Callithrix jacchus: one gene and its partners. The protein of the gene in region 2 interacts with the protein of the main gene of each other region in a biochemical or structural test. Links are inferred from orthologs where the notes say so. Each region holds a gene or a part of one and is shown on either strand. Other genes may lie near its edges.

Region 1 (3,703 bases), on a different chromosome or scaffold from region 2:
GCCAGATAGTAAACGTTTTAGGCTTTATAGAGCCACAAGTTTCTGCGGAAACTACTCAACTCTACCATTATGACACAAATGTAGCCAAAGACAATATATAAATAAATGGGTATGGGTGTGTTCCAATAAAACTTTATTTACAAAATAGGTGGCAAGCCATATTTGGCCCTCCGGCTATAGTTTGCTGACTCCTGATGTAAGGCTTTGGATTTTCAGATCTGGATTGAATGAACAGTAATATTGCCATTGTCTTTCCTGTGCTATCTTACTAATTCATCTATGAGTCATTCCACATTTAGTTTTCTGCTCTTCAAAATTATTATTGGATTTCAAATTCTGACTGTTTTCCTTTAGTATAAAAACCCCACCTTAAAAAAAATTAACAGATCTCTTTTCCTCTGCTGAGCATCAAAGGGCTGATATATATTACTCATAATTCAAAGTATAAACCATTAAAAATTTTTAAAATGGAATATAACTAATATTTCTGTACAGTGTTAGGAGGTGAAGGCCAGAAAATTCTTAGTGATAGATTAGAAGTCCCTTTTCTCCAGAGGTTGAGACATAGCAACAAGGGCGGACCAGACAGAAAGGAGAGGAAAGTTCTAGTACTCTATGGTAGTCAAAGACATCTGGGCATTCAACAGCAGTGGGATCCCAGCATTTCAGGGCCTGACAAGTCATTCTGCAGCCTCTGTGCCTGAGGGGGTAACAGGGCAGCAGCCCGCAGCATTAGCCCCACAGCTGGATACATGACTGTTTTTCTATCCTGGGCCACATGTGTGGCGACAAAGCTGCATAGTTCTGGGGAATACAGGAAAAACGTTCAGCAGAACCACAGCCTACACACAAAGGAAAAAGAGGGAGGCAGGAAGCTCTCAGGGACAGGGCAGCGTGGGCAGAAAGCCGGGACTCATAGTGACACCCTCCCCTCGGCAGTGCTTCTGCTCTGACATATTTTCTATAACTAACTATACTTTTTTTTTCCTTAAAAATTATGGCTTTAGTCAAATATACAACATCTTACCAAATGAAGATTAAAAATAAAATGAGACTAAATATAGTGACAAGCACTCTCAAAACAGGCAAAAATGATAAATTTTCCGAAGATTATAAAGCCCTAAATTACTGGACCTAATTAAGTGAACATGGTGTTCCTTATGAGACTTCTTAACCTGGCTTTGTTAGTCAATTTTTTTGTGGTTTAACTTGGGTGAAGTGAGGTTAAGCAGTCACAGGAGGGACGTTACTGCCATCCACCAAACACATTTCTGTTCAAGGCATCAGGTTCCCTCTATGATCAGGGACACAAAACTGAGCCTGCATCACCACCTACAGCCCAATCGGCTGTGAGGAGTGGACTTACGCCCTGTGCACCGTTTCCAGTGCTCCTGCCCCACGGTCAGCAGCTCCTTCACACCATCATCCATGGCCTTGGTGAACTTCCCGACGGCCTCGCACTTCTGCTCTCTGTGGGCAAAGGCAGCCATCAGTCACATGAGCAGGAGAAACAGCACTGCTGTCGATCAGGGACACGTAGGCCAAACATAACCACAGACACTTGTTCTCCTGCATGGTAACAACTGCCCTGGCACTAAGTTAGCCTTAAATACAGGCTTGATACAGACGTTTGAAGAACTACTTAAAAAGCAGTTATTATTTTAACTTTGCTTCCTTTCTTCCTCTTCAATTCTTTGTGAATTTTAATTATAATTATTCTAAAGTAAATAATAACTTCTTGAATATCTCATTTAGTAAAATTCTAATCACTGGAGGGACCATCAAATCTATAAAAGAATAACGGGGTTGCTAATGCCAGCTGGTCACTCATTCCAAGTACTCCACGAAATAGACAAAAACCTGGATGCATAATCAGCTAAGTGACCCTAAAGGTACCAGTTCTTTTCTTTTTTGAGACGGAGTTTCGCTTTTGTTACCCAGGCGGGAGTGCAACGGCGCGATCTTGGCTCACTGCAACCTCCACCTCCTGGGTTCAGGCAATTCTCCTGCCTCAGCCTCCTGAGTAGCTGGGATTACAGGCACACGCCACCATGCCCAGCTAATTTTTGTATTTTTAGTAGAGACGGGGTTTCACCTTGTTGACCAGGATGGTCTCGATCTCTTGACCTCGTGATCCACCCGTCTCGGCCTCCCAAAGTGCTGGGATTACAGGTGTGAGCCACCGCACCCGGCCCAAGGTACCAGTTCTTAACAAGGATGTCAAAGCGTATTTACCAACCTGAAAAGATCACAATACTGTTAGATGAGAAAAGCAGATTATAAAACAAAATGGAGAGTGTGAGGTCATTTCTGTTTAAACAATCTTTCCTGTAATTGTGTACAGAGGAGGACTTGGGAGACTATACACTAACATATTAACACTGATTTTCTCTCTGGGTGGTTGAAGGGTTATGTTTGTGTGTGTGTGTGTGTGTGTGTGTGTGTGTGTGTGTGTGTGTGTGTTTCTTGTCTATACTTTTGGTAACACATACGCAATAATTTTATGATAAAAAAGCTTAAAATTAAAAAACACAAATTTCTTATAAGTCCTTAATAGAAAAGGAACTACTCCAAAGTTTCAACTGAGCCTGTATTTAAAAACTAAATAATAAAATCAATAGATTAACAAAAAACCACATAGAAAAAGCAGGTTAGAGACTGCCTCCTCAAGGCCATGTTCAAAGAGATTTGCTGTCTGAATACTGTGTGGGTTTTAGGCGGCTCCGTGCCGCCTGGTTTCATCACACTATTGGAAACACTACTCAACACCGTCAACTACGAAGTCACTGGCTTCAAGGTAAAAGAAGTTTAATCTGATGTTATGGTTAGAAAGACAGTACTTCTATGTACAAGCGATATTTCCCTTGTCATTGGACTACAAAGCCCACTTATTTCCTAAAACTCTAGTCTGACAATTTGAGTTTCAGCTGCGGCTATCCTGGTTGAGGCCTGAAAGCCAAAGGAGGTTGTGGATTGAGGAAAAGGAAAACCTGGCAGCGCCTCTCACATTTCTACTAGGTCCAAGTCAGGTGCCTCTGGCTCCATGGTGGAAAATACCATGACTCCCGCCAGCTCATCTCTCTCGGCCTTCCTCTTTCCAGTTTTCCATTCCTGTAAATGAGAATGTGGTAAGGTTCAAGTGGAGAGCACAGTCAAACTGGTCTCCAAAATTCCCAAACAAGACCAGTTCAGTGATCACCTTTGTCTTCCTAATTTCAGGAAGCAGCTCCCCTCTATCTCCCTCTGCACCATGGGCTAAATGCCTTTATACCCCAAATGTCATCTTAGGGCACAAACAGTGTCATGCCACAGAACGGCCCTCATGGGACCAAGTCTTTTCGAACCAATTCAGCCATGTTCCCTTTCCAATGGCTACCTACATAAATACGGCAAATAGAAACACCCTATACTTTTTTTTTTCCTGAGAAAGGGTCTCACTATGCCCGCAAGGCTGGAGTGCAGTGGTGTGATCTCAGCTTACTGTACCCTTGAACTCCCAGGTTCAAGTGATCCTCCCACCTCAGCCCCCCAAGTAGCTGGGCCGTTAGGCATGCGCCCCCATGCCTGGCTAATTTTTGTATTTTTTGTAGAGATGGGGTTTTGCCATGTTAGCCAGGCTGGTCAGGAACTCCTGGGCTGAAGCAATCTGCTCACCTCGGCCTCCCAAAGTGCTGGGATTCCAGGCATAAGCCACTGTGCTCAG
Region 2 (3,703 bases):
ATGATGTCCACCTGGGGCAGGAGCCAGGTGGAGTCACAGGGCCACAGAGATAAAGGAGACCAAGCCCTTCCCTGTGCCAGGCCAGTGCCATGGGGATGCTGGTGGGAAGGGGGCCCATCCTCATGGAACACTCCACCTGGTGGGGTGGCAGGCAGGACTAGGAGGCAGTGCACAGATGCCTGCCATGGCCACACTGCTGTCACGTGAAGCAGCACCCAAGAAAGGGCAGGCACCAGGTCCTGCCAAGGAGGTCTCAGTGGCCTCAAGGAGAAGGCAGCTCCCTGCTGCTCACCCTGCAAGAAGCTGGCACCAGCAGAGGCAACCCATGTGGTCCAGGTGACATGCGACCTCGCTTGGTGCCACAGGCCCTGCCTCTCGGTGGTACCTTCCTTTCTTTGCTGCAGGGATGGTAGATGTGGCTCTGCTGGGCCAGAGCTGCACTTCCTTAGGACCTGGTTTTCTGAGAGCTTTGCTGTCCTGAGGTGTGTTGGTAGAAAGCCGCCTGCCCACCCAGTGTGGGCGCAGATGAGTGCAGTGCCTACTCTGTGTCTCTGTTGGAATATGGAACGTGTGAAATGGAAGGGCATGACAGATCCTGTCTCCCCCTGCAGAATTCCTACCTGGTCTTAGCGGGCCTCGCTGATGGGCTTGTGGCTGTGTTTCCTGTGGTGCGGGGCACCCCAAACGACAGCTGCTCCTACCTGTGCTCACACACGGCCAACAGGTCCAAGTTCAGCATTGCAGATGAAGACGCCCGGCAGAACCCCTACCCGGTAAAGGCTATGGAGGTGGTCAACAGTGGCTCTGAGGTCTGGTACAGCAATGGGCCGGGGCTCCTTGTCATCAACTGTGCCTCCCTGGAGATCTGCAGGCGGCTGGAACCCTACACAGCCCCCTCCGTGGTGACGTCGGTCGTATGCAGCTCTGAGGGCAGGGGGGAGGAGGTTGTCTGGTGCCTGGATGACAAGGCCAACTCCTTGGTGATGTACCACTCTACCACCTACCAGCTGTGTGCCCGGTATTTCTGCGGGGACCCCAGCCCCCTCAGGGACACGTTTCCTGTGCGGCCCTTAGATATGGAATCCCCGGGCAGCCACACGGCCAACCCAAAGGAGCCCGAGGGGGACACCATCGCGGATGTGAGCATCATGTACAGTGAAGAGCTGGGCACGCAGATCCTGACCCACCAGGAATCGCTCACCGACTACTGCTCCATGTCCTCCTACTCCTCATCTCCACCCCATCAGGCTGCCAGGTCCTCCTCAAGCCTGCCTGGCTCCCCAGAAAGTTCTTCCAGCGTGCCTTTCTCCACTGACTATGAGGACTTGGACAGGCTACACGAGCCTGGCGCTGCCTCCGACAGGTCTGAGCATGAGCTGACGCCCATGGACGGGGAGACCTTCAGCCAGCACCTGCAGGCCGTGAAGATCCTTGCTGTCAGAGACCTCATTTGGGTCCCCAGGTAAGTAGGTGAAGGCACTGTCCAGGCCGTGCCCACTGCTCCTGCTCTGTGAGCAGAGCAAGGAGAGCCCCTGGCTTCCTTAAAGATCACGTGGGGACTCAGCAGGGGCTGTTCTTCCAAGAGGGTTGGTTCCCTCCATTGGGAATCAAAGCGACGTTTTTCGCAAATCTAAGAGTGGCCGCATCAAAGCTCATTGCCTGCCAGAGAGCTTAAGGTACCACACAAGGAAAGCCACAGTCAACTGTGATTCAGTTTCCACTGGGAAAATTCTCCTCTACTTTGGGGTCTGTCCCCTCCCTGTAACTTAATCCCTTAGCACAAACTGCACGTCTGTAGCCTCCCTCCCGCGCCTTTCTGCACATTGGCCCCACTCCCCTGAGAGCGTGGCTGCGGACAAAAATGCTTCCCCTTCTGGGTTTTGGTTTCTTAGGCACGGTGGAGATGTTATCGTCATTGGCCTGGAGAAGGATTCCTGCACCCAGCGGGGCCGAGTCATCGCCGTCTTAAAAGCCCGAGAGCTGACTCCACATGGGTAAGGCTGAGGGGCAGCTCCTTTAGGACCCAGGCAGCAGCATGAGCACGGAAGGCCCCCGCAGCCAGTTCCCTCACTGTCCATTCTCACAAACAGTGGATCCACCAATGTGGCCGTAAGGCAAAGTGGGGACAAGATGGGGTCCCCCAGGCAGCCCCTAGTGGCTCTGCACTGGCCATGGCTGCCTATTTCTGGAGTACCCAGTGTACCTGTAGCTCAGGTACCCTACCTAACAGATGCCTCCAGAGCCAGAGCTCAGCTGCAGCTGAAATGCAGAGGCATCCAGGCAATTGGTTCCCTGTTCTTCCTGCCAAGCAGGAAACCCTGCCCAAGGTGCCCGTCTGCCCACACAGCACCTGATGGAGCCTGCAGAATACCCATCTCCAAGCCTGGGTCTCACCTCCTGCCCTTCCTGGGCTGAGGCATGGTTCAGTATACCCATCTATGGGTGGGTACCCCCACGAGGCATGCCAGTGTCCTCTGCAAGGGTGTACTGGACAGAGCGGCCTGTCCAGGACATGGTCTATGTGGCTGGAGTGATGTGAGGCTGTGCCAGCTGCAGCTCCACACCGTGTTTACTCCCCTCACTTTGACAACTGAGCCCCACATGGCAAATCTCTCTTATGAGAAGCCCTCAAGTGTGTGTGTGTGTGTGTGTGTGTGTGTGTGTGTGTGTGTGTACCTTGGAGCTCTTCCATTTTGCACTAGGCCTGTTTCCCTGCAGCATGCGTTATCCCCATCCGTGGGCAAGTGGGTTTTTATTTCATCTGGAGCATAAGAGGGTGAAGAAACCCTGGTCAGTGTGTTTCTCCCAGAGCGGGACCATGACCAAGGCAGCAACCATGACATCCCACTCCCGTGCCCACCAGCTTTGAACCTTTGCAGTGAGTCCTGGGCCAGTGACCCTTGCTCTGTAAGTGATTCTGGAAGCAAGATCTGGATGTGCTCCTGAGCTCTGGTGGAGCCCGTGGATGGCAGCCAGGAGCTGATGGAGTTGCCAGCTTGCAGGTCGGGCTTCTGGAGGAAATGGGTGTGCAGCACCCAGGTCCTTGGCGCACCTGCCATTACCATCCTAACCTTTAGCTGTTGCTGCTTTTCTGTCCCCTAAAGCCAGATTTTACCTTTTTCCCACCACAGGGAGAAAGAGGCCCCAGAAGCCAGTCTAAAGGGGGCCCTGGCAAGGCCATGTGGAGTAGAGGCCTCTGGACATCCCAATTTGCAGGAGCGCCTTGGCGCTGTGCAGGCCACACACACACAGCACAGAGGAGGAAGGGCAGTTAGTAGGTGCTCAGGGTGGGGCACCCCCAGGGCAGGGAGGCCACACTGTGGCCCAAAAGGAAACTTGCTGCGCATCTACCGGTCCTGCAAAACTGTCCAGTTTCCAAAAACGTACTGCTGACTGGGGCAGTAGGTTTCCCATGTAGTATATGATCCTGCATTTCCTAAGGAGAGAAGAATCACAGGGAGCTTAGTGGCAAGGGAGTTGAGTTAAATGCGGTCATGAGCCATTCACAAGCAGACATTTGGGTCGAGGGTGTTTTCAAGACCCTTTGGGGACCGAGTCAAGGATGCCTGATCTGATTGCCTCTGTGGCCTTCCAGGGAGTCAGATTCGCACAGAAAAAGCTCATGGACATGAACTCATGCCCACAGCTCGACTTTGCTCTTTATAAAGCCTAGGCTCATAGGCGGGGCCCTCAGGAGAAGTGG
Region 3 (4,447 bases), on a different chromosome or scaffold from region 2:
GGAATGCAAAACTCAGAATCTATTGAGAATTGATCATAAAAACCGAGAAAAGGGAATCACCTTTAGAAGGAAGAAATACAGAAGACAAAATGCAGTCCAAAGAAAAAAGGCTAGTGTTTAGATAAATTCCATTAGAGATAAATAAAAACCTTTAACAGTTAGTAGAACTGCTGTCAAACATTTTAAATATCATGTAGGTCAGTTCATACTCCAGGTCACAAAACATTTGGCATAATCCTATTTTCAGTTTCATAGGGAAGAAATTTCTTACTCAATTGATAGGACCAATGTGGTTAGGGAACGTTAAGTGCACACAGCTAAGTACAAACTGTAAGGTTTTATTCTACCCAGTTACACTACTTTATTACTCAACATACAATCAAACTACTAGAGCAAAATTACATAAGAGTTTCCTAGTTTCTTTTAAAAATCAACCTTGTTGTACTCATGATTCTCGTTTTAATAGTGTAGTGTTCTGTGCCATTGCCCATGTGGTTTCAAAAAAACTTTAATAGGATCAGTATTAGCATTTTTTCTCTATTTTTGCTTACCTTCAGAAATCCTTTTCAGCCAGTACTACTTTTTTAAAAAGAAGAAAAAAAGCCTACAAAAGTCTAGAACTACTAAAAAAAAAAGGCCTTGAAACAAACAGCCACATATTAATCAGACTTTTCTCAACTCAAATATTAAGCAAGTTGTAATTTAATCAGTGATGTGCAGTAATCAGAATTCATTTTACATTAATCAAACATTAGAATATAATAATCTTCAAAACCTGAGGCTTTATTTTAAAGAGGAGCACTTCAGAGTGCTTTTGTACCTACCACATGTGAGGCATTTCAAGTTGGAGGACAATGACTCCGCTTGAAGGAAGGCAGGGTGGAGTAGCATCCTCCCTATTCCTTTAGGAAAAAATCTTTTCTTTCTAAGGGAGAGCCAGAGTGAAGTGGTTGAGAACATGCCCTTAACATTCTTAAGATATGGAGAAGTGTGGGTTACTTGTTACGTGGCTCCCTAAGGAGAAACATTATCAGTTGGAGGGACTTCAAGTAACTGAAGCCACTAATTTCTGCTTTCGCTCTACTTTTCCTGGGAGTGGAATGGGTCAGGTTTGCTAGTACATAGAAAATCCATGAGGAAGCATTACTTCTCTCTTCCACTTGCCTAATTCTGAGTGGAACCCCAAAACCCGGCGTAGGGCTGAGGTTTCTCTGCTGCCATCCATGAAATTATCGTGAGTGGAGAATCTCTCCCTCTCTGGCTCTTTTCTCCCAGTAGTAACAGTAACAGTGCCTCACTAGTTAAGAGATACCGTGGTTATTGAAGTATTTTCTCGGCAAACGGACACTTCATGCTTGGGTATACTAATGGAGGGAGATAAAGACACACACAGAGTGTTTCCCCAACTTTTTGGCTCACATGCCTCTGCTCATGCACAACCTAGAGAAAAAGATGGAACCAACTCCTGTGTACAGATTCAGGGGATTGCAGGTGCCTAACACGATTTTCTTTTAACTACACTTGTTCACAAAAATTTCACAGGAACTTGAAACAAACATTCAACAGGAAGTATATAAAACTTTTCAATACACCGTTAAAGTCCTTCCATAAATCTATTAACATTAAATTGTTTCGAAATTCTACGCACGTCTACTTCTATATTACCTAATAAAATCTTAAGCAAGAAAAGGAGAAAACTACCTTTTCATGCTTTCAGGCCAGAGACTATCACTTAGTCTTCCATGCAGGGAGGTGCCCAGTACGGAGAAACTAACGGAGCGGCTGAATACCGCCAGCGAGGTTAGGGGAGACAGGGGAGGCAGCAACGTCTTCACTGCACTAAACACCCAGTAACCCTACCACCCACCCCTCACCCCTCTCTAATCTGCTCTCAATGGATCGCGGGGTTGGTTTTGTTTTTTTCCATTTTTGCTCCGAAGTGCTCTGAAGCAGGGAAACTTAATTTCACGTGAAGGGCCACTGTAAACTGCTGCCTCCTTTAAAAACGCATACGGGAAAAGAGTAAGTTAAAAACATCTGGGGCCACACAGAAGGTTCTAGAAGTTCTGCAGACCCCGGCTGCCACAGTCCTTAATCGCATGGAATCTCACCGGGACTTTTATATCCTCTGATTTTTTTTCCCACTCTCCAACACCCAGGTAAGTCAGAGTGTGGCCACTGATTACGCCCTCACAGGTTTAGCTTAAATCGAACGCGTCCTCTGTCGGACTAGGGGAGAAAATCCGAGAAACAAAACTGCTCCACGTCCATCCACCACAAATCTCAACAGGAAACTTCTGCGGCCGCCGCCTCACTGTGCCCCAGACCCCGGCCAGCCACACACGGCCTCCGTCCGCGAACCGCGGCGCAGCTAGCAGGACGCCCGAGACCGCCCGCCCGTCAGCCCGCTAGCCCGCCAGCCCGCCGCTCACCTGAGCTCCAGCTGGTCCAGGCTCTCCAACAGGCGGCTGGAGCGGTCGGCCATGGAGGAGGAGCGGCAGAAGCGCCCCTCGTTGGCTTTAGCGTTAATCTTCGCTTGAGCCATCTAAGCTTCTGACGTGGGGCAGCCGAGAGGTCACCGGCCCCTCCGGCGGCGGCGAATGGAGCGCTCCTGCGGCTGCAAGCGCTGCCGTCACTACGCGGGAGCCCGCCCTCCCCGCCTCTGACGCCCGCGGGAGCAACCCTAGAGGACCCGCTAACACCGCGGCTGCCGCGTGGCCAAACAAGGGCAGGCGCGGCGCCCGCGGGGCTCGGGGATGCCGGGCCAGCGAGGGAGCAGCCGCGGCCGGAGGAAGAGGTGCGCGGACCACGAGCGCAAGGCTCTGAGGCGCCAGGAGGGGCGCACGCAGAGACGTAGCGCTTAATGTGGTCTGCCGGGTCTGCCGCTTGTCTCGTCAGCTCCTCAGACCCAGGAACTACCCGAAGCGCGCGCGGACCCACAGACCACCCCCAGCTCCGCCCTGCGAGGCCCCGCCTCTCCGTGCAGACTAAAAGTAACCAACTCCCCCCACGCGAAGGTTCCTATCGGTCGATGGGCTGTGGGTGTATTGCTCAGTAATGGGTTCGTTTAGTTTCTCCCAGCACCCATAATTCAAAGCAAGAACAACGACATTTGAGTCCTGTGATATGGGGAGAAAACGGCCTTATGTAAAACACAAGGCAGTACAGCTTCTAGGCAGACTACACGCACCTGACCTTCCTATTACCACTCTTTCCTGAGATGAGTAATGAAAGCACCTACAGCAACTGAAGCTTTGAAAAAGAAAAAGCTATTCCATCTCTCCTTGTCTAGCTAGATGTGGGAAGCAAGGTGAATATATTTCATTTTTACCATTCTATTTTGAATTTGAGACTGGGTCTGTCACCCAGGTTGGAGTACAGTGGCACGATCACGACTTAGTGCAGCCCTGACCTCCTGGGTTCCATCGGTCCACCCACCTCAGCCTCCCAAAGTGCTGGATTACACGCTGGGCTTAATGAAGGGGTTTTTAATTTTTGCTATTAAAATTATGCCTGTTAAGTGAACCAAGATCTCGCCAACTGCTTCACACCAGCCAGGGCGACAGGGCGAGACTTTGTCTCAAAAAATAATAATGATAATACTTCTGAGTGAAATAATTGGTATTAAGGAGTCTTCAACTTTTAAAAATCTTCTGTTAACAAAAAGATGCAGAAGGCCTCTAGGTCAGGCATGAGCTGTAGTTGACAAAAGATGGAGTAGAGCTGAGAGTATAAAGACTGGACTACTTAAAAAGTGAGGCTTTGGTCCCTCTCCTGATAGCTCTATGCCTCTCATTGCAAGGATGAAAATCTACAAGGCACAGAAAATGATAGATAATAATAGTTTAAAGTTGAACCACCACCTTTAATCAAAGAGATCAAAGCAGTTTAAATACTTGAACAGAGTTGAAGCCCTTAAGGCTGGATCCCAATTCCCTCTGAACTCATTCTAAATCCTAATTAACTATTGGGGTAGGGGATTATTTGACCTTATTAAAAATACTCTGTCATGACACAAACGAAATCAAAACACATTTTGTGAGTGGTCTGAAAGCCTATCAAGTGACTTTGGAATCATCCTGAACTCTTTTTCTCTCATAGCCTACCTAGATCCAGCCTATTAGTAAATCCCATCAATTTTACCTTCAGAATCTATCTAGATTCTTCCCAATTATACCCCACCATTCTGGTTCAAGCTACCTGGTAAGATTGCACTTGGAGTACTACAATAACTTCCTCTCTGGTCTCCCTGCTTCTACTCTTGTCTCTCATGTACATATTATCTCAGTGCAGCAATTACAGCAATCCTAAATAAGGGAGATCATACCATTTATTCTCAGAAACTCTCAATGGCTCCTCACCTCAGAGTAAAAGCCAAGGTAATCAGAAAAACCTCAAGGAGTTCATTTCATATTACTCTCCTAACTCATCCTGCTTCAGCCATACT
Region 4 (4,137 bases), on a different chromosome or scaffold from region 2:
CGTGGCTTTTTTGACACTGAAGAGGAGGTTGTATGTTCTGGGGGAAACAAAAATCATTTAACTTAGTAAAACAAATACTGCATTTCTTACAATGTTTTAGGGACCTGTGGGTACAAAGAGCCCACATTAAAAGCATTTATGACAACAGAAATCATATCCACAGTGCCTGGCAAATATGCTTTTGGTAAATATTTGTTATTATCATCTCTAATGACTTAAATATTATAACTCACATCAAGTGTAAAAGCAAACAAATGGTTAACATTTTCCAGTTGCTACATGAAAGAAAAACTATCAAAAAGATAATTTTATGAGACAAATGTCTGGGATAGTGTTGGTACCTCGGGTTGGACGATCCCTATTTTTCTCTCTTGCAGCAGCTCTCTCTCTTTCTTCCAACTCTCTCCTGAAGTCACGGTTACGAACCTCTTCAGGGGCATCCTGAGTAGTTTGTCTAAAGTAAAAACGAGCCAGGGCAAAAATGTTACTTACACACACACACAACTGTAGTAATGGAAGACAATTCAAGAATGAGACTTTGTCCTTCAAGCATAAAAAAGGGAAATAGACAAGACCATAAGCTAATCTGAGGGTTACTAACAGCCACTCCTGTGATGTTCCCAATATTTCGAGAAATCCAAATTCAGTATTTTCCCATGATAAGGCTTTATACAGATTTTCTTTTTTTTTTGAGATGGAGTTTCGCTCTTGTTACCCAGGCTGGAGTGCAATGGCGCGATCTCGGCTCACCGCAACCTCCACCTCCTGGGTTCAGGCAATTCTCCTGCCTCAGCCTCCTGAGTAGCTGGGATTACAGGCACACACCACCATGCCCAGCTAATTTTTTGTATTTTTAGTATAGACGGGGTTTCACCATGTTGACCAGGATGGTCTCGATCTCTTGACCTCGTGATCCACCCGCCTCGGCCTCCCAAAGTGCTGGGATTACAGGCGTGAGCCACTGCGCCCAGCCGGCTTTACACAGATTAAAATATCTGTAATTAGTATTATATCAACTCAGAACAGTAACATTTTTAATATATTGACTGGTGCTGATTGTGCATAGTCTCTCTGAGGCATTATTATTTATATTATTTATTGCTCTATCTACATATGAAAATTCCTGGTTAGTAGGAATTTTGCATTTTAAAATCATAGAGCAAAATTTTAGTGTTAAACATCCTGTTGCACTCTATGTCTATGAAAATAAATAAGTAACATAACTCAAACATACTACTATATCATGACCATGTCATTTAACAGATTTGGTCTTGTTTTGCGAACGACAACAAAAAAGTCTTATTACCTGTATTTTATCTTTGTATGAGAAGGTAGGTCTCTGCTTGAATACTGCTTTGAAAGTTGGCTCAAATCACCTTCTCCTTTTCCTCTTCCACCCCTTGCAGGTTCAAAGGTTGGCCTGGCTGCAGTTGTCATCTTTTATGCTTTGAAGAAAAATAGTATCAAGTTATTTCCAACATTACGAACTCTCATTTTAGAGTATTAATCAATATCCATCCTGGTGATATAAGTTCTAAAACTCATTCCCCAAAACTTGCTTAATCTTCTTAAACAAAAGTTTTCAAGAAAAAAAATTATGAGGCTTAGGCAGTACAAGGAATATGGATTCCCAGACATGTCTTAGTACAAAAAATTCTGTCACGAAGATCTGAGTTTGCATCCCTATTCTTCTGACTCTGTGGGCTTCACGAAGTCACCTAGCTTAACTTTCTGTCATCAGCGGAATGGAGATATTCCTCCTAGGATTATTGTAAGAATTACGACACTTGACATGTCAAAACCCTTATAAAATACCGTACTGCCATGACTGAGTTTTAAAAATTCTCAGCTCAACCTTACTCCACCAAACTCTCTAAGGTTTGTATTTTATCTAAATTTCACACAATAGCAAATAGACTAACAGAAACAAAAGCCAAAAACAATTTTTAAAAAATCACTGACGAAGTTATTAAGTGCCCTAGGCAAAAGTGTTAAACTTCAATGACAGTTACATAGAAAAAAAATTCTTAAACAACCTTTTGTTGATCCAATTTTCTTCTACAACAGGCATCATATTATAACTCAGATCTCTTGTGGGTTATAATTTAAGGACTGTTCAAAAAAACAAGAACCTCGCCCCAGAGGATTCTAATACCAAAAACCAGGGACACATTCTTTATTTTCTGCTTGGCGCAATCACAAGAATACTGTCTAACAGATTTAGTTACTAAGACGCTGTAAGTGTCGGAAAAGTGTGTGGGAGGGTGGGTGAATTGGGAGGATTTGTTTTTTCGTTTTTTTTTTTTTTGGCAGGGGTCTATTTCTCTTGATTTCCGAAAAGGGTAGAGGCATGTCTTCAAAGAAGAAACAGGATTATCTGGCTCTGGGGGCACCGCGCCTTCCCACACGCCAACAGAATTATCACTCTGGCCTCCGGAGAGCTAGTCTTTGGCTATAACCAGAAACTCGCTACCTCTTCACCCGTGCCTAGCACTACAGGGATGCGAGGAGTAGTGAAGGGTGGACCTGAGGCTCGCTTTAAGCGGTAGGCGAGCTGCCTTTACGCTGCGATCTTAACCGCAGGCCTAGAGCTCCGGACGCGCCTGACAGGCACTCGGTTCCGCCCCTAGCGAGCTGCTTCAGGGCCTCCGCCGCCCGCGCTCAGCACTCTGCCACCAACTCCAATCCCAACTGCCCTTTCCCGTCCTACCGGGATAAAGAAGATAATCTGTTATCCTCCTGTCACTCACATTGGCCGAGGTCCGATGCAGCAGGCTCCGAATATCATACAGACGCCATTACTACGCTTGGCTCCCAGGAACCTCTGCGTTCAGGGCTAGGCCTATGACCCGGAAGCAAAACCCAAGCGCTTCTGAGGCGGAGATAACAACCAATCCGCAGAGGCCAAAGTGGAAGTTGGCGTAAGGGCAATAAGGGGCGGGGCCTAAACGGCCCAGGGGGCGGGCGTTTGAAATCAGTGCCTTAGAGTAGACCCTAAACATCATTTTATACCTTCAAGAACCAATTACTTAATGTCTCTTCCGTCTTTTCCGTCCCCGACCCCCTCCCAGACTCCATTCCGGTACTGCGTGGACGGAAAGCCCCGGGTAGCCGACACCACGTCCCCGGCTAGCGGGTTAGAGCGTGGAAAAGGATTACACCAAACTGTTTAAATCCAACGACTCCTGCTTCCATCCTGAGCTAGAACCAACAAGCCTAGAGAGTTGGGCTTCGGAAAAACTAGTGTTTTCATTTAATTGGATATGAAGAAAGAACAAATAAGTACGGGGCAACCACGATCTTTATAAAGGTACCATTCCTGCAAAAATATTACACTTCAAAGCAAAGGTTGTATGCGTAATGTTTGCTAAAATTTTTTTATTTAAAAAACGTTAGTTCTTGTGGGAGGGGAGATGTCAGTATTTACGACAGCGTTTAGAACGGTGGGCCCAACTGCCAGAAGCACAGTGTAGTTATTAAGATGGCTACTCAAGTGTTAAGTTTTAATAAGACAACGAAAAGGAGAAAACCCAAAAACCAAAAAACCCACCAATCGTCTCACCTCCCTTCCATAAAAAAATAAGTCAATCTGAGAACAGAGGTCTTGAATGCTTAGTTCATCTTGGTATATCATCACGTAGACCTTGACGTATAGTAGTTACTCAATAAATACTTGTTAAATGGAAATTCAACGTCCCCAACTTAGTTTAAAATGTAAGGAGCTCACAAAATTGAAAATTTAAATGCTTTCTTATCCCTAAATTCTTTGCAACTTTTAAATGAAGGGGAAAAAAAAAAAGCAGAAAAAGCCTTTTCACTCGTAAAGTTCAAGATGAAAATCTTGATTTTTCTTACCAAAGATATCCCTCCTCCAGTGTTAAACATCTCAGTAAAGGTCATCATATTAGTTACTCAAACCAAAATCCCAGAGTGCCTATTTAAATTTTTTTACCTTCACTCTTCACATACAGTTCATTTACAGGTCTTAACAACTCTACTTTAAAAACTTAACAAATTCTATTCTACTGCCACTACCCTTGTTCTTGCCAACACCATCTCCTACATGGATTGTAATTTTTTCTAATGTATCTTCCTGGGCCACGTTTTATCCTACAGTCAATGCTGCATATAGCCTAG
Region 5 (3,371 bases), on a different chromosome or scaffold from region 2:
GGGCCTCCAGATCGCCAGCCAGCCCAGATCTCTCGCCGCTACTCGGACTTTGAGCGGCTGCACCGAAACCTGCAGCGGCAATTCCGGGGCCCCATGGCTGCCATCTCATTCCCCCGGAAGCGCCTGCGCCGTAATTTTACTGCAGAGACCATTGCCCGCCGTAGCCGGGCCTTTGAGCAGTTTCTGGGTCACCTGCAGGCAGTGCCGGAGCTGCGCCACGCCCCGGACCTGCAGGACTTCTTCGTGCTGCCAGAGCTGCGGCGGGCACAGAGCCTCACCTGTACTGGCCTCTATCGTGAGGCTCTGGCACTCTGGGCCAATGCCTGGCAGCTGCAAGCCCAGCTGGGCACCCCCTCTGGCCCAGACCGCCCCCTGCTGACCCTCGCTGGGCTGGCTGTGTGCCACCAGGAGCTGGAGAACCCTGGGGAGGCCCGGGCTTGCTGTGAGAAGGCCCTGCAGCTGCTGGGGGACAAGAGCCTCCACCCTTTGCTGGCACCCTTTCTGGAGGCCCATGTCCGGCTCTCCTGGCACCTGGGCCTGGACAAACGTCAATCAGAGGCTCGGCTCCAAGCCCTGCAGGAGGCAGGCCTTACTCCCACACCACCCCCCAGTCTGAAAGAATTGCTCATCAAGGAGGTGCTGGACTAATCTAGGACGCTTGCCTAGATTTAAGGCCACTATGGGGAGAGAGGCTGCCCCAGAATGCAGGGGAAGGACCTGATGAGGACAGAATAGCTGGGAAGTTGCAGGGGGTGCTGGGAGCCCCTAGAAGTTCCAAAAGAGAATGTGAAGCAGATCAAAGAAACTTACTTGTGTTGAGCTGGGCTCAGGATGAGCTTTGGCCGGAGTTGCCCTAGGATAGTACTATCCTAGTACAGGGAAGAAGTCTGACACAGCCTCTCCAGTTTATAAACAAACAGCTGGGAGCTGTGGCACAGGTCAGGGGGCAATGTTCCCTTGTTGGTTGGCCCCCAAGCCGGTGAGGCCTCCTGGCTGAAGGTCAGGTACTCTGCCCCTGGAGTTGAGGGAGGAAGGCAAGGCTGCAGGTCTGGCCCAGGGGAATTAAAAGCCAGCCACTCCAGTGGTATCTGTCTCTTTATTGGATGTGAGGGCCAGCAGGACTGTAACTCCTGTCCCAGGAATGGTAGTATTGAACCAGCTAGGTTATTGAACCCCTAGGCCAAGCTGGTACCTCTGGCTACAGCTTGCTGTCTGAGACCCGGGGCTTCACTCGGATCACACCCTCTTGGGCACAGGTCACAGCTAGGACTCCATCCCGACGCCACAGTCGCCCATGGACCAGCCCCCGAGAGCCACCTGTGGGTGAGGTGAAGGGTAAGGATGGTCTCTCTACTTTAGAACAGTCAAATGCACTTCTTTGTTTTTTTCTGAGACAGAATCTCACCATGTTGCCCAGGCTGGTCTCAAACTCAAGGGATCCTCCCACCTCAGCCTCCTGAGCAGCTGGGATTACAGGCACACATGACCATGCCCGACCTCCAAGTGGACTTCTTGAAAAGGGTCTGGCCCAGGACAGGGCTGCCCAACACAAGGGTACAGTGAGTGTTGTGGCTGCTCCAAATGCCCCTTCATGAGCTTATGGACAGTCATTGAGGAGTAACTCCTCCCACAGGAACCCCGCTTGACATTTTAAAAGCACTTTCACATATTCGCTCACTTCCTCAAAAAAATCACAGAGGGAGGAGCTCTGAGAACAGTCTCCTTCAACAGCTCGGCCAAGCAGAACTTCTGTACCTCTGGCAGCTTGTGTTAGGAAACCTATCGGCTCCCTGTATAATAAGTCAAGCCAGGTTCTCCAAGCGGTAATTCATGAAAAATACCCCTATTACCACTACCAAGGGGAAGAAGGGGCTCAGCAGAGAGGACCTGAGGCCATGAGGTCTGGCCTCTTCCCTCCCCACCTGAAGATTCTTTCTCCCTTGCTGGCTTGGGGCCTGAGTTTGATGTTTATGAGGGATGATTGCTGGTTTCCCTTACACATAGCAGAGCTCACTCTGTCTCGTAGTAGCCAAGAGAAGCTGTTATGTGTTGTCCAGTTTTCCAGACCATGACTGAAATCCAGAGGGGGTCAGGAATTTGGCTCCAGGCTGAAGCCAAATATGAACCCATGTCCTCACCTCAAAGTTATCAGTCTTGGACTGTGATGCTGTTGATACTTGAGAGTACCCCTTATCTGAGTATAAAGAGTCCATAAGTTTTGTCCTTGGCTTATCAAGCAAAGCTTTTCTTCATTTGAAATTTACTCTCTTGGAAAGGAGGTCAGGGTTCTCAAGCTAGACATTAATGAATGAGTCTCAATTCTCTCTCCCCGCTACAAGGAATGTCCTAGCAATGAGGCCCTTAGAGACCACTGAATGCCCTGAACCCAATCAGGTTAATCAGAATCACTTAGAGAACTGAAAAATACAGTTTCCTGGACCTTATCCAAGACCTACTGAGTCAGAATCTTGAGGGTGGAATCAGAATCTATTTTGAAAAACCTTCCCCAAATGGCAGTCTGATGGGCTGCCGGGTTTAGATACCACTGCTGTAATGTAACCCTTTTTGTTTAGATGGGGAAACTGAGGCTCAGACAAAAGATGCGATTTGCCCAATGTCATACAGAGAATCTGAAGAGGTTCTGGGACTAGAAATAGGTCCCTGAATTAAAGTGAATGACATTCCCACCATGTTCTAGAAATTTAGAGCAGAGCTGTGTCCCGGCCTCACCCTCTCATTTTGAAGATGAAGATGCCCACGCCTGGGAGGGAAGGAAAGGAGGTGACCTGTGCAGCGCACAGGAAGTCGGGGAAAGTCAGCATCACCCAAGAAAGCAGGCTCCCTGCCACCCAAGGTCAGTGCCCTTGTCCCACATGGCCCCACACTCACCAGCCCAGGGGCTCTCGCACTCATAGAGCATCCAGTGGTCAGCTCGGAAGGGGGCGTGGAACCACATGGAATGGTCCAATGAGACCATGAAGTGCACCTTGTGCTGGCACTGGTGAGGCAGCATGGCAGTGCCCAAGAAGGCATAGTCAGAGATGTAGGCGGCCACGCAGCAGTGCATCTTCATGTCGCCCTCACCTGCAACAGATCCCCATCAGCCCTGGGCTCCTGGGCTTTCCAGCTCAGGACCTGCAGGGAGGTAGGGAAAAAGGGACTCCCATGCATGGATGTGCAGACTGGTTGCTGCACAAGAGCACTTGGCCTACTCTGTGTGTGTGTGTGTGTGTGTGTGTGTGAGAGAGAGAGAGAGAGACAGGGGATAAGCGAGATGGGGACATGGGGAGGACAGGGGAGAGCAAGGACTGAAATCCAGTCTTCACTACCCAGGTCTCCCACACTGGGCCCCCAAAGCGGTGTCTTCCTCC
Region 6 (3,703 bases), on a different chromosome or scaffold from region 2:
AACCAGGGCAGTCTCCTGGGTCTTTATCTGAGAAATGGTGACAATGCTCCTGCCATGCAGGGTGGGGTTGGGGTCACCTGGGGTCACAGCACACCTAGTGCCCTGTGGTACTCAGGGTACCCGAGTACCTGGGCCCTGCAGGCTCAGCCTGGAACTGGGTGAGGACACCTGGGATGTTACACCAGAGACTTCTGAGCAGCCCTGCAAGCTCAGGGAGTGCCTCTAGCACCGGGCTCCTCTGATGAAAAGTGCTCCCTCAGTCAGTGGACTCAGCTAGACACAAGCTCCAGGCTGGGGCCTGAGCCAGGCTTCCAGGAAGTGGGAGAACAGGAAACAGGGCAGGAGCAGCCAGAGAAGGGAGAAAGAGGGAGAAGAGGGCTGCCTGGAGCCCCCAGCCTGGGTGCAGGGCTGCCCATCCCACCCTACAGCTGGCCTTACCGTCCTGGCTGCAGGCCCCATACAGTTTGATGACATGTGGGTGGTTGACCTGCTTCAGGAGGTTGAACTCTGACAGCAGGTCTCGCAGCTCACTCGGGGAGGCGTTCTCTGAAATGCAGCACAGAGCAGGTTGCAAACAATCCCTCCTGGAAGCCCCTTCTATGACCACACCGGGTCAGGACAGACCGCATCACCTTGCCCAAGTTCAGAAAGAGAGGCCTGCAAGGATGATGCTGCTTGAGGCTTCTCCCAGCCTTTGGGGTCAGTGAACAGGGGCCACATCCGCCCTGAGGAAGAAGCACCCCAAGGAGCCAGCATCCACATAGGCAGGATCTTTCCCCAGAATGTCCCAGGTCTGGGCCACCTGTGTATGTAACATTATGTCCCTGCAGTCGCTGTCTTTAGAAGACAGTGGTCCATAGAAATCCCCCTCATTAATCCTTCTGGAAAGGTGAGGGGACTCCCTGAGGTACCCACACATCCGCTTGTGGGGAGAGGCCCTGGAGAAGGTGGAGAACTTTGAGCGAGGACCCCACACACCGCGACCAGTCCCCCTGTTTTCTGTCCCCATCTGAGACGGCTGGCCTGGAGGCCAGGAGTCCCCCATCCTGCTGATGTATCCAACACACATGCATGGCAGCTGCTCACATTCCCTCAGTTACCACAGAAGACCAATGTTCGCACCTGAGATAAAGCAGTGTTACCAGTGCACTGCACACCTGCCTTATTCTTTTTTTGAGAAAGAGTCATGTTCTGTAGCTCAGGCTGGAGTGCAATGGGGCCATCTTGGCTCAGTGCAACCTCCACCTCCCAGGTTCAAGGGATTCTCCTGCCTCAGCTCCTAAGTAGCTAGGACTACAGGCACATGCCACCACACCCGGCTAACTTTTGCATTTTTAAAAAATTGAGATAGGATTTCCCCATATTGGTCAGGCGGGTCTTGAACTCCTGACCTGGTGATCTGCCCACCTTGGCCTCCCAAAGTGCTGGGACAACAGGCGTGAGCCACTGTGCCCAGCGCCATGCTGGCTTATTCTTAATGAAAGCATGATTCTCTAGAGAGGCTAACTGTAGAGGCATGATGGAAAGAGGATGAGGCACCCTAGGGGTGGCCTGCCCAGTACATGTGTCCTGAGGGCGGCCAGAGCTGTGCTGGAACACCCAGCAGGTGCCTGGGCCTGAAGGTATTCCAAGAGTCAGAACACATGGCTAAGCCATCCCTCCCGGGTCAGCTGTCTCACTGCCCAGCTGTGCTGTGCCACCTCCTCTGTCCTGAAGGCTTGTCTGGAAGGGAGAGGACATCTGGGAGTTGGGGCCTCAGGACCCCTTGGACCAGCTGTGGGTGGCCTGGGGCTGTGTGTGGCTGCACTGGAAATCCAAGGGTCTTCCTGTGCCCCTGGATAGTCTGGGGTTTTACTGGCTTGGAGGTGAACCCAGTCTGAGGGGCTGGGTAGGAGTGTGAAAGCACCCTGTGCTGGGCAGCCCCCGACTGCTGCAAAGGATTCTCGTGTACACCAACCACTGTCCCTCACCACCATGCAGCCTGGCTGTCCACAGGGCTGGGATATGGCCACAGAAGTGGGGGTGGCCCAGTGCAGTCACCAGCCTCAAACATGCACGCCTCTGTGGGCAGGTGCATGTGCCCATCAAGAGCCAAACTTGTGGCATGACTAGGCATGAGGGCAAGATAGGCCCATGGGGGTCTCCTGAGATTGAGGGCCAGTCCTTACTGATGGTCTCTTCACCAGGCCCCAGGAGACAATGAATGGGAAAGACTGGAGTGAGGACAGCTCTCAGCTTAAAACCAAAAGGCTTTTTGAATGTTCGGATATTAGACCTTCAGTGGCACTGGCACAGCAGCACCTCTATAGCCTTCTGGGGGAGCAAAGGCCTCACTGCTTCTGTAGGCCCATGTGGCCCATGTGCCTATGGTAGGGGTTCCCCGACTTCAGCCTCTCTAGAACAGCAATGAGGGTTCTTTTGGAGGTCCCATGCTGGCAAGACGGGCCTAACCCCCACAACTCCAGAGACTCCCCCAGGTGTACTATGCCTGTGCCTGGCAGGTACCTTTCAGCATCTTCACGGCCACTGTGGTGTACCCCGCTCTGCCTTTTAGACGGAAGGCTGTCGCCTTGACCACTTTTCCAAATTCACCTTCTCCTAGAGTTTTTCCAAGAACCAAGTTCTTCCGAGGGAATTCCCACTTTGGATCCTCCTATGTTGGAAATGAGGGAAGGGGAAGAAGAGGGGAGAAAAGTGTGAGGATGACAGGGGAGGAAGAAGGCAAGCCCCCTAAAGGAGCCCCCATGGACAAGTGTCAATGTGACAAGGATCTCCCTGAGCCCCTGGAGAATCTGGGGTGCTTGCCACAGCCTGGAGGCTCTGAGCAGCATATGCAGACCTGTAAGCCAGGCTCCCCAGAGAGGCACCTGCCTCTGGATTCAGTGCCCCTCTGTTCACACTGCTGCTCCCCTGCCTGATGCTTCGGCCCTGACCACTGCCTCTCACCTGGATGGGAACAGCACTTCATCATAGTCCCACCCCACAGACTATCCGCACACAGTGCCCTGCAGAAATGGGGGCAGAACATGGGCCTTGTCTGCCAGCATCAGCAGCCCCTCATGGGACGGCCTCTGTATCCCCAGCTGGCCTCCCTCCCTGGACGGCAGCTGGGGAGGGTACAGGGGTCTTCCCTGCCCTGCAGGGACCCTCACCGGGATCTTGAAGGCGTCCACGGAGACCTGGTTCTCCATGGAGTCCAGTGAGGGCCGGCGGGCGCCAGACGAGGAGTAGCTGACCGGGAAGGCCTGGGCAGGCCGGCGGAAGGTCATTTCAGCTGAGGGGATGGGCGGCTTGTGAGCAAACTTGTGGTAGCGATGGATGCAGAAGGCAGACAGCAGCACCGAGACGATGAAGGAGAAGAGGACGGCGGCTGCGATCACCGTGCGGCACAGCTCGTCACATAGTGGATCTGTGGATCGGGTTGGTATGAGGTTTGGCAGTGGCAGGAGGTACAGGCTGCCCACGCTCCTCCGCATGGCTCTCCAGCCTGCTGTGTCCGCAGCAGCAGGAAAGTGGCCGTGGAGGGAAGGCCTGAGAACACCCCACCGAGCATGGGTACTGCCATGTACTGCCCCATCCTAGACTACTATTGTCCTCTTACAGATGGAGATAGAGGCTCAGAGAGGCTGAGCAGCCTGCCAAGGTCACACAGCAGAGGCTGTGCTCACTACACCAGCTGGCACTGGAGGGCTGGTGGGGGAGG
Region 7 (4,230 bases), on a different chromosome or scaffold from region 2:
GTTTATTTTGCGGAGTAGAGCTATGTCTAATACAACTAAAGAAGATGGTATAATTTAGCTAGTAAGAATAATTAACCATCTGCATCTTAATTTTTAAAACTAAAATGACAAGAAATTAATTTGTCCCTTATTTTAAGGGGCATGAAACTTTACTGTGCCCTAAATGAAATCAAATGTTGCCTACCAAGAGTACATTCCATTTTCCAAACAACTTCCCTGGAATGCTGGGGAGCTGATATGTTTAAAACGAATATTCCCCAAGTCCAAATGTTGGATTTAAAAGAAACATAACCTTTCCAACTTTTCTTACAAAAAAATCCCGTGTATGATTTATGCCCATCTTCAAAACACCCTCTGGAGTTCAGACCAGATGTGTGCAGTGTTTACACTGAGAAAACCACTAGGACATCAACAACTCACTATAAACACCACTCAAATTTTGCTGTGCTTTCCTTCATTTCCTGTGTATTTATTCTGGTGTTAAAATAATGTTAACTTTCATAATAAGGAAAATAGGAGCAGATGTTTAAACCAAACAAACTTTAGCCCATTATCCCATATAGCTACTCAACTTTCAAAATCAAAGTTTCTTCCTCCCAAATACTGAGGGGGAAAAGAGAGAAGAGAAAAAGAGAAAAGAGAAAAAAGAAGAGAAGAGAAGCCAAGCCCTCAACTCTCCAGCGTGTTGCATGCTATACAACAACTCGACCTGGGCTCGCTGTCCATAAGCTGGTCCTCACCAATCAGAGACAGGAAAAATTAATCTGCTATCTGGTATCAATTTCCTAACAATCTTATATTTCTCTCAGGCCATTATGTTTTGTTTTGTTTTTAAAATATCATATTACTTGTTGGCAAGGTCAATACATCAGAAATTGCCTAAAAAGTTTTTCTTTCTTGTTGGGGGAAGGGGAGATGGTTAAAAAAAACAACAAAAACAAAACCCTGACTGCAATATGTGAATTTCACAGGAAACAAGCCCAGTAATGGCTGCTGATGGCTTTCTAAAGTCGTCTGCCTTTTTAAAGTGAGTTGAGATGCAAGATGTTACTTAACTCATCAGATGCAAAGAAAGCAATTCACCAAAATTCTCATAACAAGAACTAGGAGTAAACAAATACCTTTTTAAAAAACGTTAAATATGAGATCCCTATCCACAGAGTTTTTTTAAAAAAACGTGAATGAGGTTTCTTTTTTTCTTTGAAGGGGAAAAATACTCGGTAAAGGGTAAGTTTTCAACTGATTAGGAAATAGGCCTGAAGTTTTTAGAGTAAAAAAATAGAAGTCAATCTCCCTCCTAAGTTTTTCTGTTTTCTTCAAGAGAAATGTCCCGTTTACTACTGCAGAAAAAATGGAAACTGCTCCTGCTGAATGAGAGAGTCCCGGATGTGTGTGTGGTTACAACAAAAAATACTCTTCCTGCCAGGCCGAACTCCCCTGGAGATGGCTCTCGGCGGCAAACCCAGGCCATTGCCACTTTTTCAAATCGCACGTAGAGGATGTTCCAACAGATTAAGAAATAGATTTTCTCTTACTGCTACCAGAGACAGCCTGAAATACAGGCCGCGGGGGAAGCACCTCGCGGGCGGTGGGAGGTAATAAATAAGAACTCAGCGCGGGTTTCTCTCCCTTTTTTGGGGCAGGTTGGGGGTCGGGGTGTTGTTGTGTAATCGCTCCCACAGGGAGGCAGAGCTCGAGGAACACCCCCAACCCCCACCCCCGCCAATGTCAGCGCTCCCCGGGCTGCACAGGAAGCGCCAGCGAGACAAAGAGCCGGCCTGTGCTTGCTGACTCCCTGCCCTTCCAGCCCTGCGCGGGAGAGGGACATTCTCCGCTGTTTGGGACACTCACTCGCGAGTACAGAAACTCTCTTAACTTTGGCTCTCCCTCCGTGAGCCGCGGGGAGCTGTGGCCCACAGCAGGGTACAGTGGACGGTGCAATCCCCACCAGTCCCTCCCCCAAACACAGCCTCAACTTTTAACAGCTTCCTACAAGTCCTTCCCCTAAAGACAGTATTAGCGGAAATCAAAAAGAATAAGTACGTTACAAGCATAAAGCAAACTTGGAACGGTTTCTACTTCACCGCCCGCCCGTCCAGCCCCCTCCACCGCCCCTCGCAGCCTGAGATCCGAACACACCCGGTGCTGAACCGAACCTAAAAAACGCCGGCCTTTCCAGCGCCCTACCGCCCCGAAAAGGACAGCAGGCGCTCAGAAGGCAGGCACCCAGCACACTGAGGAGGAGTGGCCGAGACGAGCAAAGGGCAGTAATTCTACAGCGGGACATCTACCTTCGTAGCACAGAATGCCGATATTGTTGTTCATCTTGTCCAAGTACTGATAGTTCAACAGGTCCATCTTCATAAATAGCATTTATTGGGCTAGCAAAGAAAACCAGCTCTTTGCTTTCGCCCCAAAAGAGTTAAGTTTCAAAAATCAATTGTTGCTGAGTAGCTCCTGGCTCTTCAACTTCACAAAGCAGAGGCCCAGCCTCAGACTATCAAAACAAAGTATGCAAAAGTTTTTTTTTTTTTTTAAAAGGCACACACAAAAAAAATCGAGCTCACACGAAACCCTTCAAGGGCTTACTGGTAGACGCTGTATGTACTTTATCACCGATCGAGTATGAAAAAAGCGTTTCAGAAGTCCTTACAAGTCCTTCCTGGAAATGGAAGAGGGTGAAAAAGAGAAACGCGCAGCCCGTTTCCTAGGACAAAGCGGCGCCGGCCCCGCTCACAGCCCGCTGCAAGCCGGCAGCGCTGACATGCGGGCTATGCTTGGCATGACTCCGATGCGGCCGCTTCCTCTTCCCGCGGAGGCTGAGCATGCTCACTGCGCCGCGCGGTCGAGGCAGGGAGGGCTTCTGCACAGGATCAGCCTCTCAATGTAGCAAGTGTTGGACAGAAAGAGAAAGGGGAGGGGGAGAGACTCTAGAGACCAGGCCTTGGCAGACTGGCTCTTGACAGGAAGCAGCTCGGCCGCTGCAAAACCGTAGGAGGGAAAAAGAAAACCCAGGAAGTTTCTTTTTCAGGAGCTGAGTACAAAGTAAAAAAAAAATCCATCATGGAAGCAAACTTCCATGGAATGCAACTTTCGTGAAACTTCTCGGTGGAGCTTCAGAAACCCAAGGTAGTGATGCACTAGTCACACATATCTAGGTATTTTCTTTTAATGTTTTATAATGTCCATTTACACTTTCACTGGATATTTAAATTTTTGATGTTAATGTCAGATGTAACTTCTTTCATAATCCCCGTAACAACTGAGATAGACAGGGCACGGAGGGTATTACCTATTCACAACAGAGAAAAGTGAGGTTCAGCTGGATTAAATGACTGGCCCACAGCCCCCAAAGTAGTTGACAGAACTACTTTTACAATGTTTTATTCCCCACCTAATGTTATAACTTAAAAAACAAGGAGGGGGCGGGGTGCAGTGGTTCACACCTGTATTCCCAGCAGAGGCAGGAGGATCACTTGAGGTCAGGAGTTTGAGACCAGCCTGGCGAAAATGGCGAAACCCCATCTCTACTAAAATACAAAAATTAGCCTGGTGTGGTAGTGCACACCTGTAGTTCCAGCTACTCAGGAGGCTGAGATGGGAGAACTGCTTGAACCTGGGAGGAGGAGAATGCAGTGAGCCAAGATCACGCCACTGCACTCCAGCCTGGGCAACAGTAAAACTTTGTCTCAAAAAAAAAAAAAAAAAAACAGACAAGGAGGGGAGAAGAAGAGATGTAAGGTGTTTAAGCAAATAAGGCTCTAGTATCAAAAATTGAAAGTGCACTTGAGATTATAGAGGGAAGGGGTAAAATTATTTTCATTTTGCTTGTATGGCACCCACCTGTGTGTAAGAAGCTAGTGGCATGCAGCTGTGCTATTTACTATTGTAAGGACTTAGGGCTTAAACTTTGAATACCCATTGCCTAGCACAACCAAGTTTAGGGGCCCAAAAACTGTTTACTGAATGAGTATGAGTGAATCACTGAATGTTCAGTTTTCAGCACATGAAGAGCATGTTAACAAAATAGAAAAAAAAAAGCTCTGAAATAACATTTGAATGTCCTAAAAATATTTTTTAAATATTCTAAAATAATATTTGAGTAAATTATTTGGAGGAATTGTATGTTAAAAATCCAACAATAGTTGCATTGGGTGTATTAGGCACACTCATGGCCAGCTGTTCTAATCAAATCTTAGTTGGAAATTCATACAATATCCAAATACTGTT

What was found.
Region 1: the proteins of LRRK1 (region 2) and SNX9 form a complex in vitro, tested with the Homo sapiens proteins (2 studies listed by BioGRID and IntAct, with this or other methods). The link is inferred for Callithrix jacchus from reciprocal best matches to the Homo sapiens genes LRRK1 and SNX9.
Region 3: the proteins of LRRK1 (region 2) and BAG2 form a complex in vitro, tested with the Homo sapiens proteins (2 studies listed by BioGRID and IntAct, with this or other methods). The link is inferred for Callithrix jacchus from reciprocal best matches to the Homo sapiens genes LRRK1 and BAG2.
Region 4: the proteins of LRRK1 (region 2) and CWC15 form a complex in vitro, tested with the Homo sapiens proteins (2 studies listed by BioGRID and IntAct, with this or other methods). The link is inferred for Callithrix jacchus from reciprocal best matches to the Homo sapiens genes LRRK1 and CWC15.
Region 5: the proteins of LRRK1 (region 2) and SNX21 form a complex in vitro, tested with the Homo sapiens proteins (2 studies listed by BioGRID and IntAct, with this or other methods). The link is inferred for Callithrix jacchus from reciprocal best matches to the Homo sapiens genes LRRK1 and SNX21.
Region 6: the proteins of LRRK1 (region 2) and RET form a complex in vitro, tested with the Homo sapiens proteins (2 studies listed by BioGRID and IntAct, with this or other methods). The link is inferred for Callithrix jacchus from reciprocal best matches to the Homo sapiens genes LRRK1 and RET.
Region 7: the proteins of LRRK1 (region 2) and VGLL4 form a complex in vitro, tested with the Homo sapiens proteins (2 studies listed by BioGRID and IntAct, with this or other methods). The link is inferred for Callithrix jacchus from reciprocal best matches to the Homo sapiens genes LRRK1 and VGLL4.

Annotation. Positions count from the first base shown.
Region 1 is NC_133505.1:164,754,490-164,758,192, reverse strand, and holds part of SNX9 (sorting nexin-9), read right to left. Parts: intron 3,112-3,703; coding exon 3,008-3,111; intron 1,471-3,007; coding exon 1,367-1,470; intron 1-1,366. UniProt on the Homo sapiens protein: Involved in endocytosis and intracellular vesicle trafficking, both during interphase and at the end of mitosis. Required for efficient progress through mitosis and cytokinesis. Required for normal formation of the cleavage furrow at the end of mitosis.
Region 2 is NC_133507.1:8,921,301-8,925,003, reverse strand, and holds part of LRRK1 (leucine-rich repeat serine/threonine-protein kinase 1), read left to right. Parts: intron 1-611; coding exon 612-1,462; intron 1,463-1,892; coding exon 1,893-1,994; intron 1,995-3,703.
Region 3 is NC_133505.1:65,540,538-65,544,984, reverse strand, and holds the start of BAG2 (BAG family molecular chaperone regulator 2), read right to left. Parts: upstream 2,918-4,447; 5' UTR 2,546-2,917; coding exon 2,433-2,545; intron 1-2,432. UniProt on the Homo sapiens protein: Co-chaperone for HSP70 and HSC70 chaperone proteins. Acts as a nucleotide-exchange factor (NEF) promoting the release of ADP from the HSP70 and HSC70 proteins thereby triggering client/substrate protein release.
Region 4 is NC_133511.1:45,351,518-45,355,654, reverse strand, and holds the start of CWC15 (spliceosome-associated protein CWC15 homolog), read right to left. Parts: upstream 2,819-4,137; 5' UTR 2,711-2,818; intron 1,446-2,710; 5' UTR 1,438-1,445; coding exon 1,307-1,437; intron 455-1,306; coding exon 342-454; intron 38-341; coding exon 1-37. UniProt on the Homo sapiens protein: Involved in pre-mRNA splicing as component of the spliceosome. Component of the PRP19-CDC5L complex that forms an integral part of the spliceosome and is required for activating pre-mRNA splicing.
Region 5 is NC_133506.1:41,082,210-41,085,580, forward strand, and holds the end of SNX21 (sorting nexin-21), read left to right. Parts: coding exon 1-648; 3' UTR 649-1,198; coding exon of another isoform or gene 1,199-1,317; 3' UTR 1,318-2,687; downstream 2,688-3,371. Other genes in the region: ACOT8 (acyl-coenzyme A thioesterase 8), read right to left, coding at 1,199-1,317, 2,890-3,084. UniProt on the Homo sapiens protein: Binds to membranes enriched in phosphatidylinositol 3-phosphate (PtdIns(P3)) and phosphatidylinositol 4,5-bisphosphate. May be involved in several stages of intracellular trafficking.
Region 6 is NC_133513.1:35,800,583-35,804,285, reverse strand, and holds part of RET (proto-oncogene tyrosine-protein kinase receptor Ret), read right to left. Parts: intron 3,410-3,703; coding exon 3,153-3,409; intron 2,654-3,152; coding exon 2,506-2,653; intron 547-2,505; coding exon 439-546; intron 1-438. UniProt on the Homo sapiens protein: Receptor tyrosine-protein kinase involved in numerous cellular mechanisms including cell proliferation, neuronal navigation, cell migration, and cell differentiation in response to glia cell line-derived growth family factors (GDNF, NRTN, ARTN, PSPN and GDF15).
Region 7 is NC_133516.1:68,852,581-68,856,810, forward strand, and holds the start of VGLL4 (transcription cofactor vestigial-like protein 4), read right to left. Parts: upstream 2,837-4,230; 5' UTR 2,374-2,836; coding exon 2,292-2,373; intron 1-2,291. UniProt on the Homo sapiens protein: May act as a specific coactivator for the mammalian TEFs.